Stegostoma tigrinum: one gene and its partners. The main gene of each other region encodes a partner of the protein of the gene in region 3 in a complex. Links are inferred from orthologs where the notes say so. Each region holds a gene or a part of one and is shown on either strand. Other genes may lie near its edges. The genes, in order: Kv channel-interacting protein 1, Kv channel-interacting protein 2 and kcnd2.

Region 1 (7,566 bases), on a different chromosome or scaffold from region 3:
AAACCAGGGAATTACAGACCACTGAACCTGGCATCAGTGGTTCACACATCACTGAAGGGTATTCTGAGGGGCAGCATTTACATGTATTTGGAAAGGCAAGGACTGATTAGGGATAGTTAACATGGCTTTGTGTGTAGGAAATTGTGTTTCACTAACTTCATTGAGTTTTTTGAAGTGACAAAGGAGACAGACGAAGGCAGAGTAGTGGACGATGACTGCATGGACATCATTAAGGCATTCAACAAGGTTCCACACGGTAGGCAGTTTAGCCAGGTTAGATCACAGAGAATACAGGATGAGCCAGCCATTTTGGATACAAAATTGGCTTGAAGGTAGGAGACAGAGGGTGATGGTAGAGGGTAGCTTTTCAGGTTGGAAGCCTGTGGCCAGCTGTGCACAGCAAGGATTGATGCTGAGTGCATAGCTTTTTGTCATTTATATAAATGATTTGGATGTGAACATTGGAGGTGCAGTTAATAAATTTGCAGATGATACGAAAATTGGTGGTGCAGCAGATAGTGGTTACCTTAGAGTACAACAGGACCTTGATCAGTTGAGCAAATAGGCCGAGGAGCGGCAGATGGAGTTTAATTTAGATAAATGTGAAGTGCTGCATTTTGGCAAGCCAGGACTTGCACACTTAATGGTAAAGTCCTGGAGAGTTTTGCCGAACATACAGGTTGCAGGTTGATAGTTCATTGAAACTGGGGTCGCAGGTTGACAGTGTGGTGACGATGATGTTTGGTATGATTGTCTTTACTGGTTAGTGTGTTGAGTATAGGAGTTGGGAGGTCATGTTGCAGCTGTCTAGGACATTGGTTGGGCCACTGTCGGAATACTGCATTCAGTTCTAGGCTCCCTGCTATAGCAAAGATATTGTGAAACTTGAAATGGTTCAGAAAATATTTACAAGGACATTGCCAAGGTTGGAGGGTTTGAGCTATAGGGAGAGGTTGAATAGGCTGGGGCTATTTTCCCCAGAGCATCAGAAGCTGGGGGATGGCCTTATAGAAATTTCCAAAATCACAAGGGGCATGGATAGGGTGAACTGCCAAGGCCTTTTCCCCAGGGTAAGGAAGTCCAAAACTAGAGAGCAAAGGATCAAGGTGAGAGGGGAAGGATTAAAAAGGGAGTAAAGGGGTAACTTTTCACACAGCGGGTGGAGCATGAATGGATTGAGCCATCAAAGAAGGTGGTGGAGGCAGGCATAATTACAACATTTTAAAGGCATCTGGATGGGTATATGAATAGGAAGGGTTTAGAGGGATATGGGCCAAATACTGGCAAATAGGACTGGATTAATTTGGGATATCTGGTCAGCATGAATGAGTTAAAGCAAAAGGTCTGTTTCTGTACTGTACATCTCTATGATCCTACTATATTTCACTATATTCCTTTGTGTGTTCCATTATGTTAATGAGTATTTTCTATATATTACTAGGTTTGTAACACTATATTATGGAGTAAGTAAATGTTGCTGGTTTTGTTGCACTACGTTATGAAATGATTACACTAAATTAATGGGAAGCTATACTACTGGGTAAGTAACACTGTTTTTCAATTTTATTACATTATATTATTGATAAGTGACACTATATATAACTGTCCATTTCTGAATAAGTCACTGGCAGACCTGTTGAGATTTTCCAGCAATTTCTGTTATCCTACTATATTACTGTATTCCTTACTCTATCTTGCTGAGACTGTGTTCACAATGTTAGCAGAAAGTTTCATTCTATTAATCGTTACGTTTCAGTACATCACTTTGTAAGTTTTAGTTTATTATCGGATACATTTCCGGTTCGGTTTCAGTAATATTGCTATGTACCTCCTGCAATTATTTCAGATACGCCCCATCCTGCAACACCAGCTTGAGTACGAAGAGCACAAGGGCCAGCTCACACTCCCTACCATTCCTGCAGCTGCGACAAGATTTCAAATGAACTTGAAATCAAGCAAAAGGTATTATCGCTGTAGAAACACACGTCTATTCCGGGCGATTGCCTGCTTTAAACCAGGCTTCAGTGTACAAGCCTTCGCTCAGAGAGAATGAAGACGTGAAGCAAATCACAGGCTGTGGCTGCTTCCAGCACCTTACCTCTTGAATGTCTCCTCTGTTTTGTTGGCAGGGATAACGTACCCATCACTGCTCCCATTCTGAATGTCTTTCTCGTTCTCTTGTACTCAGTTCCTTTTTGCATTCAGCTGTGAAGGCGTGCTGGACCCACAGTGTGTTCGGAAAAATCAGGCGCCTGGAGCTACTTCCACATTTGCACACACACACACGTGTTGGTGAGATTGATTGCGAATGCTTTGCACTGTTATTCCTCCAACGTGAGTTCAAGGCTACTTCAATTCCCTCAGCTGAACACTGTGGGCTGTCACAGAGCTACATTGACTGACGCAGCCGCCAGATCGAAGCGGAAACAAACGTTGTCTGTAGCTGTCCGCACTCTCGTGTTTCACCAGCTCTCAGTAGTCACCACCAAAGGCTGTGTTCTCTACCAACGCATACCAAACAGACCTTTCACAGGCAGTGATAGACCCACGGGACTGGGGAGTGGACCAGATTACTAATGTCAACATCTCATTCGGAACTCAATGTAACACTGGTGAAAAATTACACAGCGGACACGATACTGTTATTTTCCCCAATTTCACATCTAGTGTTTGAATCCTAGAAACCCTACAGGTGGAAGCAGGCCATTCGGCTCATTAAGACCACACTAACCTAAACAGATAAATAGAAAGCGGAACAAAACACCAGCGCTTCGTCGGAGGCTCACTGATGATGTTACCTAGAATGGTGACGAAACGTTTGAAAACCAACCTTCCAGCTCAGCGAGCAAACTCACATCGAGACCACACTAACCCTCCGAAGCGCACCCCATCCAGGTCCACCACCCTACCCTGTAACCCCACATTTCCCAGACTAATCCACACATCCTTGAATGATGGAAGAAAACCAGAGTATCTGGAGGAAACCGGCACAGATACTGGGAGAACGTGCAAACTCCATACAGCCAGTCACCTGAGGGTGGAATCGAACGTGAGCTCTGGCGCTACGAGGCAGCAGCGCGAACCACTGAACCACCTTGCCGCCCATTTCCAGAGACACCTCTCCCTACGTATTCAAAATTGGCAGATGTGTAACTAACAATAATCTTGCAGACTCGTGTATCACAGGGAAGTGTAAAGAGGCAGATGCATCATGGCTGGTTGTGTACTGGTGGTGAATAAGTAGATCTGTAGAATTGAGGGTGTTACAGGTGTGTGTAATCTATTAATGCATAACAAATGGGCGTGTACCATACGAGTGTGCAGTGCACAGTGTACAACGTATGAGTGTGCAATAGGCATGAGTGCTTCACAGGTAGGTGTTTCAAGAGTGAATGTATTACAGGCCATGTATAATGCACAGATGTTTAACCGATGGCTGCGTAATTAGCGAAAGTGCGATGAATGGGTATAATGGATAGGTTGTGGAATCTGAGAATCAAAGAATCCCTACAGTGTAGACAGAAGCCATTCAGCCCATCAAATCTGCAGTGACCTCCTGAACAGCATCCCACTCAGACACTCCCCCCACTCTATTTCCATAATCTTGCTTTTGCTATGGTCAATCTACCTAGCCTACACATTCCTGGACACTATGAACCAATTTAGCATTGTCAATCCACCTAACCCCCATATCTTTAGATGGTGGGAGCAAACCAGAGCACCCAGAGGAAACTCACGCAGACATGGGGAGAACATGTACACTTCACATAGACAGTTGCCCAAGGCTGGAATCGCTCCTGGGTCCCTGGCAATGTGAAGCATCAGGGCTAACCAGTGTAGGTGTGAGATTTGTATTGTAGGTTGGGTTGTAAAATGTGAGAGTGGTAAACTGGGTGAGTGGTTACAAGGTATAAAGGGGGTTGATTTAGTTCAGTTCACTGGATATTTCGTTGGAAAGCAATGGAAAGCTCTTCTCAACTTCTCTCATCATCTGAGGTATGGTAGCCCTCAGTTAAATCACCATTAATCAACTCTCTCAAATGAGAAAGAAGCCATATAGTCTGGTCAGACTACGGCAACACAAAATTTTGTGTACTAGGTGGTTTATTTTTTGGGTGGTGGTATGTTGTGTGGGTGATACAATGGCTAAGTCATACTAGGTGAGTGATATAATGGCTTGGTTGTATATCTTACAGACAATATCCCAGGCACCATCATCACTACCCTCCCTCACCATTAGGACAGATCCAGCAGAGGTGGCAGCACTGTGATATACAGTTGGAGGAAGATGCTCTGGGAATCCACAGTATTGACTCAGGACCCCGTGAAGTCTCATGGCATAAGGTTAAATATTAGCAAGGAAACCTCCAGCTGATTACCACACTCCATCCTCTATCAGCTGATGAGTTAGTACTCCTTCATGTTGAACAACACTTGGAGGAAACCCTGCGGGTGGGAAGGGTTCAGAATGTACTTTGGATGGGAGATTACAATGTCCATCACCAAAAGCTACTGATTGAGCTGGTGGATGGGTTACGTAGTGGGTGGCTTATGTAGAGGGTGGGTTATGTAATGAGTGCATTGTATCATAGATGGGTGGTATAATAGATGTGTTATATAAAACATGGGTTGTACAATTTGTTGGTTGTATACTAAGTGGTTGGAATAATAGATGGGTGGCATAGTAGGTGTGTTGCATAATGGGTGGATTGTATGATGTGTAGCTTGTATAATAGGTGGGTTGTACAGCGAGTGGGCTGTATAATAGATGTGTAGTATTGTAGGTGTATTCATTAATGGTTAGATTGTATAATACGTGTGTTATATAATGGGTGGGTTGTATAATGGGTGGGTTGCATTATAGGTGAGTTGTATAAGTGTGGGTTGTATAGTAGGATGTGATGCAAAGTGGGATATGTTATGTAGTGGATCATTTATATAATGGGTAGCAATGCTTGCAGAAGGTGGTGGCACAGTAGTGATGTCACTGGACTGGTAATCAAGTGCTCCAGGCTAATATGTCAGGGATATGGGCTGAATTCTATCATAGCAGATAGCCTCATGGTGACCCTGTAACCACTGCCAATAGTTATAAAAACACAATCTTAGGTATTAGTGAAAGAAATCTGCCATCCCTACCCAACCTGGCCTACACGTGACTCCACACCCACAGTGATGTGTTTTAGTCTCAAATGTCCTCCAAATTGGCCTGGCAAGCCATTCAGTTGTATCAAACAGCTACAGTCCGACAAAATGATCAAAAGTGGAAGCATTTTACAGCATCAAATTAGGCTTCACTGTTACTGGGTCAAAATCCTGGAGCTCCCTTCATAACAGTGTAGTGAATTTATCACAAAAGCTACAGTGGTTCAAGAAGGCAGCTCACCACCCCATATCGAGAGGGTTGGACAATAATTGCATGTCTGGATAGTGCCTGCCATATCCCCTATCAACATCAAAAAAAGTACTCTTTTTTCCCCTCAGTGTTCAGGAAGTGTGGAGAAAGGGCATTGACCACAGGAAGAATCAAATCCTCTACTGGCAGGTTTTCCAATCACTAGACAGCTCAAATGTCCACCCGCTAAAACTGTGCATTTTGCGATTGCTATTTAATACACATTTGAACTGCAACACTGACCCTCTTTGACCTGAATGGGGCACTAATATTGAGAACAGCCTTTTTTGGTTTCCCAATGCCACACAACAAGATTAAGTAAGAGGCTGACAATCACTTTGTCCAAAGCCACTCGCAGTCACATCTGCAGAGTTTGGGTGGATGGTAGTGGAGGAAACTCCATTGTAGTGTCTTCACAAACAGTCAATGACAGCTCTGACTTCAATGGATGCTGTCAGTTCTATACTTACTGAACACTACTACACAGAATGAAATCGTCATCAATAACTCAGGTTCATTGTACTGGAAAACCACTGCTGCTTTAAAGTCGAGTTGTCATGGGAACAGGATGTTCCACATCCTTGTTTAGCACTTTCTTTGATGAATCTTTATGGCCAGAGAATGGGAGCAGTACAGTTACATAGAACATAGAACATAGAACAGTACAGCACAGAACAGGCCCTTCAGCCCACAATGTTGTGCCGACCATTGATCCTCATGGATGCACCCTCAAATTTCTGTGACCATATACATGTCCAGCAGTCTCTTAAATGACCCCAATGACCTTGCTTCCACAACTGCTGCTGGCAACGCATTCCATGCTCTCACAACTCTCTGCGTAAAGAACCTGCCTCTGACATCCCCTCTATACTTTCCACCAACCAGCTTAAAACTATGACCCCTCGTGCTAGCCATTTCTGCCCTGGGAAATAGTCTCTGGCTATCGACTCTATCTATGCCTCTCATTATCTTGTATACCTCAATTAGGTCCCCTCTCCTCCTCCTTTTCTCCAATGAAAAGAGACCGAGCTCAGTCAACCTCTCTTCATAAGATAAGCCCTCCAGTCCAGGCAGCATCCTGGTAAACCTCCTCTGAACCCTCTCCAAAGCATCCACATCTTTCCTATAATAGGGCGCCCAGAACTGGACGCAGTATTCCAAGTGCGGTCTAACCAAAGTTTTATAGAGCTGCAACAAGATCTCACGACTCTTAAACTCAATCCCCCTGTTAATGAAAGCCAAAACACCATATGCTTTCTTAACAACCCTGTCCACTTGGGTGGCCATTTTAAGGGATCTATGTATCTGCACACCAAGATCCCTCTGTTCCTCCACGCTGCCAAGAATCCTATCCTTAATCCTGTACTCAGCTTTCAAATTCGACCTTCCAAAATGCATCACCTCGCATTTATCCAGGTTGAACTCCATCTGCCACCTCTCAGCCCATCTCTGCATCCTGTCAATGTCCCGCTGCAGCCTACAACAGCCCTCTACACTGTCAACGACACCTCCGACCTTTGTGTCGTCTGCAAACTTGCTGACCCATCCTTCAATTCCCTCGTCCAAGTCATTAATAAAAATTACAAACAGTAGAGGCCCAAGGACAGAGCCCTGTGGAACCCCACTCACCACTGACTTCCAGGCAGAATATTTTCCTTCTACTACCACACGCTGTCTTCTGTTGGCCAGCCAATTCTGTATCCAAGCAGCTAAGTTCCCCTGTATCCCATTCCTCCTGACCTTCTGAATGAGCCTTCCATGGGGAACCTTATCAAATGCCTTACTGAAGTCCATATACACCACATCCACAGCTCGACCCTCATCAACCTTACTAGTCACATCCTCAAAAAACTCGATAAGGTTTGTAAGGCATGACCTACCCCTCACAAAGCCGTGTTGACTGTATTTGATCAAGCCATGCTCTTCCAGATGGTCATAAATCTTATCCCTCAGAATCCATTCTAACACCTTGCAGACGACAGACGTGAGACTTACCGGTCTATAATTGCCGGGGATTTCCCTATTTCCTTTCTTGAAGAGAGGAATTACATTTGCCTCTCTCCAGTCCTCAGGTACGACTCCAGTGGAGAGCGAGGATGCAAAGATCTTCGCAAGTGGCGAAGCAATTGCATTTCTCGCTTCCCAAAGCAGCCGAGGACAAATCTGATCCG
Region 2 (6,917 bases), on a different chromosome or scaffold from region 3:
AAGGACTGGCCTAGCCACTGATGACTTGAATGAATATATCCCTTGTTAAAGTTCTAACCCATTTAAAAACTGCTCCCCCCCAGATACACACACACACACACACACACACACACACACACACACACACACACACACAAAACATGCGTGTTACGTGTGAAGGGAAAGCTGGATGATTAGGCAGGTGGTCCCCATCCACAGGGTTTGCTTCTCAATTTTCTTCTTCCTCCTGTTTGCAAGTGACTCGTTCACACTAATTAAAAGTCAAAGTTTACTATCATTGATGAGAAATAAACTTGCTTTCTTCAGGGGTGACCTGGCAACTTCTCACCTGAGTAAATGCACCCAAACTATTGAATCATCTCTGTGCCATCTCCAATGCAAGTGCATTCATCCTTAAATATGTAATAAATCACACGGTACTCCGGCTGTGAGCTCAGCAAGACCCTGTACAATTATAACAAAACTTCTTTCACGTACTTCAAGCCACTTGCAAAAAAGGCCAATATGCCATCTACCTTCCCAATTGCTTGTTCCTTTATTCTTTCATGAGATGAGGACATCACTGATTGGGCAGTATTCATTGCCCATCTCAGTTACCCAGAGGGCAGTTGAGAGTCAACCACACTACTGTGGGTCTGGAGTCACATGTAGGTCAGGCCAGGTAAGGATGGCATTTTCCTTTCCTAAAGAGCATTTGTGAACCAGACGGGGTTTTCCTGACAATCGACAATGGATTCATGGTCATCGTTGGACTGTTAATTCCAGTTTTTTAAATTGAATTCAAATGCCACCAACTGCCCTGGTGGGAGTAAAAACCCAGGTCCCCAGAATGTTATCTGCGTCTCTCGATTAACAGTCCAGCGATAATACCACTAGGCCATTGTCTCCCCATGTTGTGCCTGTGTGCTGTCTGTCTGTATACCTTGTACAACAATCATCATCATTATTGGTGATTCTTCACAGATGAGGATAAGTCTGTAGGTAACTGTACAGACCAACGCAGCTACTGCAGGCTCTGTTACACTTGGGGCAGGTGGTGCTCACAGGGAGTGGGTGGGGTATTGTGGCGGTGCACTCCTTTCGCTCAGTTTCCATTTCTTCCTGACGGCAAGTCTCGAGGTGCTCAATGTTTTCCCGGATGCCCCTCCTCCACTCTGGATGGTCTTGGGCCAGTGATTCCCAAGGGTTTGTGAGAATGCTGCACTTTGCCAGTGCACTAGAATACCCAAGTCTCTCTGAGTGTCGATGTGTGAACTTTCACACCTTTTCAAAGTGAATAACCTCACATTTCTCCAAATTATACTCCATCTATTACCTCATTGCACACGTGCTTAATCTGTCAACACGTCTTTGCAGTGTCTTTGTGTTCTCCCCACAATGTATACTGCCCCTAGTTTGAATCATCAGCCAGTTTGGGCACATTACCCTCTGCCCATTCAAACCATTAATAAAGATTGAAATTGACTGAGGCTCCATGACTGACCCTCGTGCTGGCACTCCACTATCAGCCAACATGAACAGGCTCCATGTATCCCTACTCTTTGTTGAGCAATCTGCTTTCCTTGTTAATATATCACACCCAACTCCTTGAGCTCATGCGTAGCGTATTAATTGTTTGAGTGGCACCTTATATCGTATGCCTTTGGAGACCACATTTACTGGTTCCCTCTATTAATCCAATTAAATATTTGCTCAAAAACATACAATTCATTAATTAAATTTGACCTTTCTTTCTTAAAACTTTGTACGAACATACTATGCTTTTCTAAGCCCATTGTCAGGACCTTCTTCACAATAGATTGGGGGTTGGTTAGAATCAATGGCAAGCGTGTATTTTAGAATATTGCTGATTCATTCCCAATTCTGTTGTAGTAAAACCTAAATCTGCCCTTTCTTTGAGACTGACCAGAAGCACCTCAGGCTGGCAATGAAGCATCAGAAGACGAACTGCCAACCTCATACGCCCGAGCTAGTGCACAAGCACATGAATGTAAAATTGATTCCAACACATTTTTTCCCCCAAGGACTAATGTCAGGATAATATAGCTGCAGTTCCCTATTTTCTCTCCAGCCCCCTTCCTTAGATAACAGTGTTATGTTTGCTAACTATCAATCCGCCAGTGAATCTACTTTCTCTGCAGCGACCTCTTTTAAAAATCTCAAATGTAGGCCATTAGGGCCTGGGGATTTGTCAGTTTTTAATCCCTCAAATTGGGCTGTAGTTCTTTTTCTGCTGTAACTAATTAACCTCAATTTCCTCACTTGTTTTTTTAGCCCCAGTCTGATCAGACAGGGACTGCATGATAGACTTTGTGTTTGTCTCCCATCAGAGTTAGCAATTAAGCTATCGTTTACAAATTTAGAGTCTTCAAGAACCTTAGACTAGGTTAACCAATAAAATTCAGACAAAAATAAATGAGGGGGCACTTTTGGTCTGCCACCCATTTCCTACCTTCACTGGAGAAATCAATCAGTCCCAGGAAATGCAACAGCTTCAGAGAACTTACAGCCAGAAAGACAATCCCTACAGTCTGCAATCCCTCCGACTCCCAGTCCGTATTTAAAACCATCTCGACTGCCTTCTGTCATCTGGTTTGGGATTTTTCGTGGGGCAGCAGGAGATGGACGCAGAGCCACAAGAGATGGAAAATTATACGAACATAAAGGCACAAGTCATTAACAGGGTAAGAGGCACAGACTGAGAGACAGAATGATTCATTCACACAGAATGAAAAGACAGATTGGGCTACAAGACACTGAGAGATAAACAGTGAGAATCACAGAGTGCGATGCAAAGAGAGTGAGAAAACAGAGGCAGAGAGAGAGATATGTAGATAGTAAGAGATGCAGAGTTGACACAGATGGAATGGGTGACTCAGCGACAGACACAAAGGCAGAGAGACAGAGACAGACAAACAGAGTGAGAGTCACAGAACGAAACAGGGAGGTGGGGGAAAAGACTCACAGCGGGAGACAGAGACAGGAACACGCACAGGAGAGTCACGGGGAAGCAGTGGATTTTGTGGGATTTACGGTGAGAAACATACACAGAGAGTTAGGATGACAGACACAGTGAGAGAACCTGATAAACTGAACTGTCAAAGATGAGAGGGCGGGTTCCATCGTTTACAAATCTTTCTGCGCCTGCACGTTGTGTTTTTAAACACTCAGTGGTTGAGTCAGATTTTCCCCTTTGGCAATGTCAGTTAAAACGAGCACTGTTGCCAGTCAAGTGATGCCCACTTGGATCTGGCATTTCGGGAGCCTCTCTGCTGAAAACTCTTTGCTCCTGAGAAAAGGTGAGTGCTTTTGTTGTAGGTCACTGTCTGGCTCACTGAAGGGCAAGGAGCAGCACTGAACCTTGGACCTGCAACTTCAGAGGAGGAGATCCCAGGTAAGGAAGAAAACAAAGGCATTGGAGCTGTGGAGCTGTGAAGAAAGGAGAGATGGGGGTACACTGTGGGTCTCCCAGTGTCAGAAGAAGAAAAGCAAGACACTTCTATCCACAGCAGATGAAGAAGGACTGCAAAACTCATGAGCAGGTAAAAATCTGTGTTCCTTAATACTATTTGTAGCCTCTTTGTACTGATATCTTGCATATTGAACATATGCCTTCTGCCTCACTGTATGTCCCTCCCACCCTTTCACTGTTGTGCCCTGTGCCATTCTGACTCCGATCCGTGACACTGCCTGTATTATGGACGTCTCTCTTCTCTGTGAAGGTGCAAAGTCTTTGCAAGGGCTTTCCCCAACTCTGCTGTGCATACCCTAACTCCAAGCCCCATTTGACCATCTTTCCTCAGCTCGCTGACTGACGCTGGTCCTTGGCCTTGGCCTAAAATTATCCCTCCATGGCCTCTTCCTATCCCCTTTCGTATAATCTCCTCCGGCGCTACAAATCTCTACAATCCCTGTACTCTTCCGATTCTTCATTTTTAGTGGCCTTGTCTTTAGCTGCCTGTGTGCTCTCCTATCTGGAAGTCACTGCCTAAAAATCTCCACACCTTTGTCTTCCTCTGATCTGGTCTTTTAAACCTTCCTCTCTGATTAAGTTATTTAAGGGGAGGTGATGGCCACAGCAGATGGTGGAATTTGAATTCAAGTATCTAATGATGACATTGTGCCAATTATTGGTTCACTAATGCCCTTAAGGGAGGGGAAACTGCCATCCTTACCTGGTCTGGCCTACGCATTGACTCCAAACCCACAGCAATATTGACTCTTAGCTGCCCTCTGGTAATTGGGGAAGGGGAATAAATGCTGGCTTGCCAGTGATGCCCTCATCCTGTGAATGAATAAAAAGAAATGGGTCACCTGTCCCCCTATCTCACCATCTGCTTTGCTATGGGTTCAATAGGCATAGAAGTTGGTGTTTATGATAAACTATGTGTGCTCAATCATGGCTTTGTGTAAGGTCGTAAAACTCTCCGAGGTGTGAAGATGCCCACTGCACCTGCCCTTAGCCAGGGACTGACACATCCTGCCAGGGCTCAGAGTTGGGAACTGCACTCACAGTGGACTCAAACATTTTTATACAGGCAAAACATCTTGGCTTCGTACTCTGTACCTGTCCCCACGCAGAGTAGCCTCGTGTGTATGTCACAGTCACTTTCACAAGCACACTCACACACACTCTCAACTACTTGTGCACACTCACACACACTGACATACTCACTCATTTTCATTCTCACCCGCTCTGTCATCTAATTGTGCGTGCACGCACACTTATTCTCTTACATTCTCACACACGTGCACTCTCTCTCGAGCGCACACACACACACACACACACACACTCTCTCATCCTTGCACTCTGACATTTTCACATTGTGTCGTACTCAATCATACTCATCTTCTCAAACTCCAGGTTTTCACACACACACCCTCGCAGTCATTCACATTCTCACATACTAATTCTCACTTTCTCACTCTCACAGTTACAGTCCCTAGCAGTGTGCTTCCCCCCTTGATATTGAAACATCCTGTTAGACCGCTCTCTGTCAGAGATATCGCACATACAGTCACATGCTCGCGGATATTACTATGATAAAGTGTTGATGCCAGCCTCAATCTTCCCAACGTGTTTTATTGACTCTAACAATTGACTCTAACAAGTTATCCATAAGTCTCTCGGTGTCATGGCAACAGGAAACGTTTGTGAAAGGAAGAGCTTTGTGATGCTTTATTTTAAGATCCAGCTTTTAACATGTAAACGGTTCATAGTTTGCTTAAAATGGGAGACAGTACAGGGCACAGGGAAATTATAATTCCTTTTATACTTGTTGTTTCCATCAAACACTCCCAGCAATAGGCTTAGCATGGGGTTAAAGATCCCTCTACAGTATCCTCATCAAACACTCCCAGGACAGGGACAGCATGAGGTTAAATACAGAGTAAAGCTTCCTCTACACTGTCCTCAACAAGCACCCCTGGGCCAGGGAGGAGTGTACAAGGATTAAAAATGGATATGTCTCTCTTCATAATTGCTGTTCGGTTCCATTCATGTCCTCAGCATCCTCAATGTTTGTCATAATGTAAACAAAGTTTGATTCTCGGAATTACTGGAAAATAAGGGGCTCAGGTTTGATTTGAGTAAAGCCTGATTTGGAAAGGAACCGATAGCCCGGCTGGAAGGAAACTTTAAGTGTTGGTTGGAGAGTCTCAAAGAAACGGATATTATCTTAAGATGAGAGTCAGGCCCTTGGAAGTGGTTCAGGGATCATGCCTTCACACAAATGCGGAACCCACACCCAGCCCCCAGAAAGTGGAAGATGTCAGCTCAGTTAATCAGTTAAGATGTGTGTTTAGAATGAAGGTGCCAATGTAGTTGAATAGCAGAACAGGCTTGGGGGGGGGAGCTGAATAGCCTCCCCTTTTTTATATATCCTTCCTGAGTTGTCAGTCAATGGCTGTCTGCTGTGAATGAGGAGCAGCTGTTTAACTTTCAGGAGAGCACACTGGCAATGCCATCTGGTGATATCAATATTGACATATCTGGGGAAATCTCATTTTTTACCTCCGCAGCCTTGGGATCGCAGAGGTGTCGTTGGATGGAGAATGCCAGCTGGTAATGTTGTTATTTTGGCTCCAAAGAAGACTTGGGTTCTGAGTCAACACAGCGTGGAGCTGGAGGAATGCAGCAGATCAGGGGAGCAGGAGAGTCGAGTTTACACCCTACAGCAATCATGATGAAGCCTCCACCATCTGCAGTTCTTGCTATCACCGAGAGGCTGGGATTCTGTTTGGTCTTGGAGTGCTCTGACTGTACTAGAAAATCACATCAGCCCAAATGTCCTGCCCTATGTTGGGCCCAGTAGCAGCATTCTAAGACAGAGTTGTGGGGAGAAGACCCACTCCAGTGGTTTGAGGGAGCTGGCTGCGTTATGTGAGAGACGCACCACTAGAGAGGCCATTTTCATCAGTATAACTGAAACAAGCTGCTCCTCTGTCCCTTTCAGGTGGATTCAAATGACCCACAGCACTACTATAAGGAAGAGCAGAGGATCGAGTCAGTATACGCTCCTCAACATGTCATCACTGTGGAAATGGATTACTTAGGATTGTGGGATCTTGCTGTGCATAATTTGGCTGCTGCATTTCCCCCATGACAACAGTGGCTACACTTCACAAATTACAGGCTGTAAAAAATTCAGTATCTTCCATGGGGATGAATGGCCCGAAACAGGGGGTGGATTGGAGTGGCATGGTGGCTCAGTGATTAGCATTGCTACTTCACAGCGCTAAGGACCTAGGTTCAACGCCACCCTCAGGCAACTGTCTGTGTACAGTTTGCACATTCTCCCTGGGTCTGTGTGGGTTTGTTCCAATTTCCTACCACAGTCCAAAGATATGCAGGTAAGGTGGGTGGGATGCTCTTCGGAGGGACAGTGTGGATTCAGTGGGACAGATGGCCTTCCCCG
Region 3 (7,100 bases):
CAAAGAATTGGGATGTAATTATGCATTCAAGGACTTTGGAGAGGACAAACGAGCCATCGTACATGATAATTTGGCTGTGATTCGGTAAATTATAAATGTACCAAGCAAAGACAGTTCAGTTGAACAAAGAAAGACGGAGAAGTTGAAAAGTGGCATTTGTTGCCAGGCAATGAGGGATGGTTGTAGAGCATTATCTAAACATTTGGAATTGTTAACAGTACCAGTTAACATGGGGGCCAGTAAGGCAAAATGAGTCACCAACAGCTTGGTTGCAATAGGATTGAGAAGATGTAGCTGGACTTTGTGGGCTAACTAAGGTTGGAAAGCGCATTCCAGGAGATAGGATGGCATCTACAGAAAGATATATGTTCAGGTTAATAACTGTTGGGGAACTTTGTCCAAAACATATTATCTAGTCATTCTTAAATCCATTTAAGGGGTGTGGGTATTGCTGGATAAGTCTGCATTTATTGCTCATTCTTAACTACCCAGAGTGTAGTCAAGCATCATCCATATTGTTTAGGGTCTGAATTTGCATGTAAGCCAAACCAGGTGAGGATCTTTCCCTAAAGGACATTAGTGAGCAAGATGGTGTTTTCCCAACAATCAGCAACAGTTTCTTGGACATCAGTAGACCCTTAACACTAGATACTTTATTAAATTCAAATTTCTCCATCTGCTATGGCAAGATGGCACACGTCAAGAATCTGATGGAATACTCCTCACTTGCCGGGATGGGTGCAGCTCCAACAGCATTCAAGAAGCTTGATACTGTCCAGGACAAAGCAGCCCACTTGATTGGCACCACAACCACAAACATTCACTCCCAACACCAGTGATTCTCAGTAGCAGCAGCATGTACTATCTATAAGATGTACTGCAGAAATTCACCAAAGATTCCCAGGGCAGTACCTGGGTCTCTGGAATAATAGTCTTGTGATAGTACCACAAGGCCAACATCTCCCCTGCTGTTAATGGATCTTGCTGTATTCAACTTAGTTTCTCTGCTTGGTTGTAAAGCTCCTTGGAATGTTCTGAGACTGAAAAGCACCAAATGAGTACAAGTTTACCTACTTTATTGAAAAAATACAATTGAGTTCAAAGGGATATAAGAACATAGTTTGCCCCTCAAGCCTGTTCCACCATTATGTGAGATTATAGCTGATTGTCCAATCTTTTAATGCCATTGGTAAACAAGAACCTATCAACCCAACATTTAACAATGACCAAGTATCATTTTGCCATTTTGTGTAAGTGTGTTCCCCAAACCCCCTGGATCTCCCTACCAGGAAAAATAATTTCTCCCAAACCATCTAGTCTATTCCCTGTAATATTCTCAGAATCTCAAATCGCCTTCTAAAGCTTTCTAAATTTGATGGAATACTAGTTATGTAATCTGTACATGTGTTTTAACTCATGGAGTTGAGGTATCAATCTGGTAAATCCATAACGTGATGTAGGAAGTTGATGGGTGACCTCAAGAAACTGTGGAGAATCATGAAGGGCAGCAATAAGATGAATAGCAAAGGCCTTTTCCTAAGGTGTGAGAGTTCAAAGCTAGGGATCATTTTTTAAGGTGAGAGGAGAAAAATTTAAAAAGGACACAAGAGGAAACATGCTTACACAAAAAGTGGTTAGTGTGTGGAATAAATTGCCAGAAGAAGTGGTGAATGCGGGTACAGTTACAATATTCAAACACATTTAGATAAATACATGAATCGGAAAGGTTTGGAGGGATACGGACCAAACACAGACAGGTAGGACTAGTTTAGTTTGAGAACATAGTTGATGTGGACTATATAGCCCAAAGGGTCTGTTTCCATGCTGAATGACTTTAAGGAATTGTAGGTTTGGAAGGTGCGTCTAATGATCTTTGGTGAATTTCTGCAGTACATCTTATAAATAGTACATGCTGCTGCTACTGAGAATCAGTGGTGATGGAAATGAATGTTTGTGGATGTGGTGCCAATTAAGTGGGCTGCTTTGTCCTGGACAATGTCGAGCTTCTTGAGTGTTGTCGGAGCTGCACCCATCCAAGCGAGTGAGGAGTATTCCATCACGTTCTTGACTTTTGCCTTGTTAACAGTGGACAGGCTTTGGAGATTCAGGAGGTGAGTAACTCACTGCAGTATTGCTAGCCTCTTGCCAACTCTTGAAACCTCTATTAATGTGTCGAGTCCAATTGAGTTTCCAGTCAATGGTAACCTCCAGTACGTTGATAGTGGGGATTCAGTGACAGTAAAACCAGTGAATGTCAGGGTGGGGGTGGGGGTGGTAGTGTTAGATTGTCTTTTACTGGAGATTACAGTTGCCTGGCATTTGTGGTGTGCAAATGTTACTTACCACTTGTCAGCTTAACTACTGTCCAGATTTTGTTGCATTTGAATATTGACTCCTTCAGTATCTGAGGACTTGCGAATTATGATCAACATTGTGAAATAATCGGTGACTATGCCCACTTCTGACATTCTGATGGAGGACGGTCCTTGATGAAGCAGCTAAAGAGGTTTGGGCCTAGATCGCTATCCTGTTCAGAAACTGACCTGTGAAGGAACTGAGGGTTTGATCAGCTGAAAACTTTCAATTTGTTCATTCACTAAATCCTTAATTATAGATACTAGGAATAGCCCAACAACAGATGACAGGTGAAGTGAACTATCATTCCTCTCTCACATTTCCTAAAAGGTGAAATGGTACACACTCTTTTCCAATGTAAAAGAACAGTTCCCGAATTGACAGTGGTCTCACTTCCTTTAAAATTATAACTTAGAAGCCATCTGATATTGGGAATCTATCCCTCTTTTATGATACCAATTTATTCAGGGTGACAATTCTGGATTTTGTGGTTTTAATATCTGTCCTGTATCCTGTGTGAAATCAGTGTCAGCACCATTTGTTATGTATCTCAAATTGTGCCCTAAAGTCTGGTGCTTCTGACAAGCTGAAAAATTCTGGTCTCCAGGGTAGTGATATAAAGTTGTGTCTGATCAAACATTCATTACCTGGGGACGTCCACCATGCTGAAGTCTATCACACCTGTAAATATTAACACAAAGTAATTACTCAATATGTCTGCCATTTCCTAATTTTCATTTTACTATTAGCAGTTTTTCTCACATCCCCAGATGATCTTCTAATTCCCATGCAATATTTTTGAGTTAACCTTGATATTCCTTGTAAGTTTATTTTCATGCTTTTTGTAATATTTCTACATTCTGTTTTACATTCTCATTTGTCAAGATTTGCGTATGTTTTTTCTTGTTTTTTTTCATTGTCTTTGGTCTTTTCTTTCTCAGCATCTTTCCTCTTAGGGAGTTCTAAATTGGTTCTACATCATCTATTATTTTTGAAATACCTCCAACTGATTTCAGATCATATTTGCTACTAACGGATTTGCTAAGTTCACTGATGACAGTTTTGCTTATCGCATTGAAGTCAGCGTAACTGTAACTTAGAAACTGATGAGCTGTTTTGCCTTTATCATTAAATTGAATGATATCACAACATGATCTACATTAGATAAAATATTCACACATCATTAGGCTGTGTTACCTAAATCTGAATGGTTACTTATTACTAAATCTTAAATTAGGAAACTTATCCAAGACACATTAAAGAAATTCACAACCTTTGCAACATTTTTTTTCTTATTGACCTGGAAGATAAAAGATTTTGCTACGTTTGTCTAATCTCTGCTGTTATCTAATCTACCACTTCATAGCTGCTAAGAGGCAACCTATACACAATCTCCACTAGTCTTAAATTACCTTATTTATTAATTCTACCAATAATGCGTCTAATATTTGCTTATCTCTCACTGAAGTGATTTCATCCACAATCAACCACAAAAGCACTTTATCATTAAATTCAAAAAACTTGACGTGTTTGTGAAATTAAAACGACGAAATGTTGAAAAATGTGGTATAATGTTAAGGCCTCACCAACCTCTTTAATCATCTCCCGAATCTCTTACATACAACAGTTTTGGTTATGTTTGCCATTCTCAAACAGCTCAGCCTCTATCCTGAATTTTGTCGCCCTCTATAGGGCGAACTATTTGACGTGGGCTCGCAGCAAAGGAAATAGGATTGAATGCTCCGATAAATTGAGAAAGCTGAAACGCGTCTTCGAACGGCTGAAATGTTCTCCCACAATCGTCTCTTCCCTATTTGTTTGTAAACGGTACAGAAAACGATTCGACGGCAAAGGACCACAACACTTACTTTAAACGACGAGCGCCGGATATTAGAATGAACTCTCGATAATTTTTTGAGGTTAAATTTTCTGCTCATTCCAGTTTCAACAAAGTGCTATTTTGAACAAGTTCTGTCTCCAATTCATATCCACTACAACCTAAGCTGTATATCCTTAAAAAAACCTGCAGGTTTTGATTTTACATTGAACACAATAGCTGATGGTTATGAACCACCCACACGATCTCAGAGCAAGGAAGTTCAACTGCGCCCTCAGTCTTGCGAGTGGCTCCTTATATTCTGTGTATAAATGTATATGCAAACGATCTCGCCTTCTTTTAGAGGTACTGTACTGCAAAGAGTGGAGAAGTGGAATATGTTGAGGTCTCGTATCGCTACTGGATCGTCGAGCGTGATTACGTTTCCTGAACTTGTTGCTGGTGGACTGAAAAGCTCTATTTGAGGGATTCTCCTGTCACGGCTCCGGTTCAGGTTCTTCGTATTTTCTATACATATGTCCATTAACGTGTAGTGGATTGAAGTGATACAGCACCGAAATCTGAATGCATCAGACAAGTGGCCGACTCTTCAGAGAGGTAGGACAACAAACAGTTAAAATATTCTTTTGATAACACCTGGTAAATTTCTGTTTGGCTGTTAAGTTGATGCCCGTGTAGGAGCACAACTGCAATAATAAGACGGTTACGGGTTAAAATGTGTGTGTGTGTGTGTGCATGTGTATGTGAGAGAGTGGAAAACACAAGAGATGGGGAATTCTGCGAAATAAATATTTTGAGACCGGGCAAGGGTACGCCGCGAGGAGTTTTTGTTTTATTTCAACACGATCGCAAAATTACATTGGGTTGCCTCCTTTATCTTTCTAGATGTCAGGCGTGCGGCATCAAGCGTGGTTCTGAATCGGGGAAGCGACCTGTATCTCCCTGTGACACCCTCCCAGCCAGCCAGCCAGGCAGGCAGTAAAGTATCGGAGCGATGGCAGCGGGAGTAGCCGCCTGGCTCCCGTTTGCCCGGGCGGCCGCTATCGGATGGATGCCGGTGGCCAGCCAGCCCATGCCCGCCGCCCCCAGCGAGAGGAAGCGGCCCCAGGACGGGCTGGTCATCCTGAATGTGAGCGGCAGGCGCTTCCAGACGTGGAGGAGCACTTTGGAGAGGTACCCGGACACTTTGCTGGGCAGCTCGGAGAAAGACTTCTTCTACAACGAGGAGATCCGCGAGTATTTCTTCGACCGGGACCCTGACATCTTCAGGAGCATCCTGAATTTTTACCGGACCGGCAAGCTGCACTACCCGAGGCACGAGTGCATCTCGGCTTACGACGAGGAGCTCTCCTTCTTCGGCATCATCCCGGAGATCATCGGCGACTGCTGCTACGAAGAATACAAGGACCGAAAGCGGGAAAACATCGAGCGGATCATGGACGACGCCGAGGACGACATCAGCAGCGAGAACCGGCTGCCGTCCATGACCGCCCGCCAAAAGGTGTGGCGGGCTTTCGAGAACCCGCACACCAGCACCTTGGCACTCGTCTTCTACTACGTGACGGGCTTCTTCATCGCGGTGTCGGTGATGGCCAACGTGGTGGAGACGGTGCCGTGCGGCTCGCTGCCGGGCAGTGTGAAGGAGTTGCCGTGCGGTGAGCGCTACGCCCTGGCCTTCTTCTGCCTGGATACAGCGTGCGTCATGATCTTCACGGTCGAGTACCTGCTCCGCCTCGTGGCGGCCCCCAGCCGTTACCGCTTCGTGCGCAGCGTCATGAGCATCATCGACGTGGTCGCCATCATGCCCTACTACATCGGCCTGGTCATGACCGACAACGAGGATGTCAGCGGCGCCTTCGTCACCCTGCGCGTTTTCCGCGTCTTCAGGATATTCAAGTTCTCCCGCCACTCGCAGGGCCTGCGCATCCTGGGCTACACCCTCAAGAGCTGCGCCTCGGAGCTCGGCTTCCTCCTCTTCTCCCTCACCATGGCCATCATCATCTTCGCCACCGTCATGTTCTACGCCGAGAAGGGCTCCTCCGCCACCAAGTTCACCAGCATCCCGGCCGCCTTCTGGTACACCATCGTCACCATGACCACCCTGGGGTAAGTGCTTCTCTAGGCCACTTGTCTGTTTTCTTTGTTTCATCTCCCCCAATCCCTCTCCTGCTGCGTCTCGTTGTGTTGGGCTGGAGGAGGGGGAATGGATGTCGCCGATTATTGAGTGGTTCCCGCGGGTAGAAGAGGTTGTCAAGTCAGTCTCGAGGACTGGGCAGCCCATACGAAGTGTGTTTGGAGCCAGTCCTTGGTGGTATCGGCCAGTCTTGGACAGAACTTTATGTTCTTGCATTGGAAACCAGTATGGAGAAGGTGTGAAATGAATCACAAATTCTAATTATCTGCTAGCAGTGACAATCCTTATAAGTGTGGCTATAAGGTGAAGAAATCTAAACTTTTGTTAGATTATTTCACTCTGGTTCCTTGACATCATCTTGAAAACATGGAGTCTTTCCCTCCTGTCCTACCCATCTGTACGTAAGGTTTCCCTGCAGAATTGATCTTTGTTCGTAGTTTCACATTGCAACCTAAGTCACCTCTAAATAACCTTTTAGAGTTACAGTAATGTCAGAATTACTGTAACTCTAAAAGATTATTTAGAGATGACTTAAATTTTTCAACCTCACAGCACTGTGTTGCCAGCAAGTTTGAAACTCTACTTAGAAAGGAAGGTGTGAGGTAGCACAGCACTTTTGATATGTTGGTGTATAAAGCTAAAACCAGTTTTTTTAAGCAAAGTAATGTTGTTTTCTTTGAACTCAACAGATGTTGATGATCTGTAAAACATGAGAACACTGGTGTACAAAATGTCAGCCTGTCCCAGTTACCTCTGTTTAGGCTAAGAGGACAG

The links.
Region 1: the proteins of kcnd2 (region 3) and Kv channel-interacting protein 1 are in contact, whole or in part, in a cryo-EM structure (PDB 7E8E), measured with the Homo sapiens proteins. The link is inferred for Stegostoma tigrinum from reciprocal best matches to the Homo sapiens genes KCND2 and KCNIP1. Residues at the interface, in NP_036413.1 of Homo sapiens: Ala2, Val5, Ala7, Trp8, Pro10, Phe11, Ala12, Arg13, Ala14, Ala15, Ala16, Ile17, Gly18, Trp19, Met20, Pro21, Val22, Ala23, Ser24, Gly25, Met27, Ala29, Pro30, Gln33, Arg35, Lys36, Arg37, Thr38, Gln39, Asp40; in NP_001030009.1 of Homo sapiens: Thr60, Arg62, Glu63, Val66, Leu67, Arg69, Gly70, Phe71, Asn73, Glu74, Phe85, Ile88, Tyr89, Gln91, Phe92, Tyr101, Leu105, Phe109, Phe122, Leu126, Leu129, Leu130, Lys137, Thr141, Leu144, Tyr145, Val162, Ile165, His185, Phe189.
Region 2: the proteins of kcnd2 (region 3) and Kv channel-interacting protein 2 are in contact, whole or in part, in a cryo-EM structure (PDB 7UKH), measured with the Homo sapiens proteins. The link is inferred for Stegostoma tigrinum from reciprocal best matches to the Homo sapiens genes KCND2 and KCNIP2. Residues at the interface, in NP_036413.1 of Homo sapiens: Val5, Ala7, Trp8, Leu9, Pro10, Phe11, Ala12, Arg13, Ala14, Ala15, Ile17, Gly18, Trp19, Met20, Pro21, Val22, Ala23, Ser24, Gly25, Pro26, Met27, Pro28, Ala29, Pro30, Trp55, Asp57, Arg61, Arg100; in NP_775283.1 of Homo sapiens: Arg112, Gly113, Phe114, Asn116, Glu117, Cys118, Val123, Phe128, Ile131, Tyr132, Gln134, Phe135, Phe136, Tyr144, Leu148, Phe152, Phe165, Leu169, Ile172, Leu173, Arg180, Trp183, Ala184, Leu187, Tyr188, Met201, Met205, Ile208, Met211, His228.

The regions. Positions count from the first base shown.
Region 1 is NC_081366.1:63,377,046-63,384,611, forward strand, and holds the start of Kv channel-interacting protein 1, read right to left. Parts: upstream 3,050-7,566; 5' UTR 2,202-3,049; coding exon 2,099-2,201; intron 1-2,098. UniProt on the Homo sapiens protein: Regulatory subunit of Kv4/D (Shal)-type voltage-gated rapidly inactivating A-type potassium channels. Regulates channel density, inactivation kinetics and rate of recovery from inactivation in a calcium-dependent and isoform-specific manner.
Region 2 is NC_081373.1:13,470,127-13,477,043, forward strand, and holds the start of Kv channel-interacting protein 2, read right to left. Parts: upstream 3,066-6,917; 5' UTR 3,048-3,065; exon of another isoform or gene 2,590-3,047; 5' UTR 2,571-2,589; coding exon 2,453-2,570; intron 1-2,452. UniProt on the Homo sapiens protein: Regulatory subunit of Kv4/D (Shal)-type voltage-gated rapidly inactivating A-type potassium channels. Modulates channel density, inactivation kinetics and rate of recovery from inactivation in a calcium-dependent and isoform-specific manner.
Region 3 is NC_081371.1:36,346,897-36,353,996, forward strand, and holds the start of kcnd2 (potassium voltage-gated channel subfamily D member 2), read left to right. Parts: upstream 1-4,064; 5' UTR 4,065-4,789; intron 4,790-5,077; 5' UTR 5,078-5,186; coding exon 5,187-6,298; intron 6,299-7,100. UniProt on the Homo sapiens protein: Voltage-gated potassium channel that mediates transmembrane potassium transport in excitable membranes, primarily in the brain. Mediates the major part of the dendritic A-type current I(SA) in brain neurons.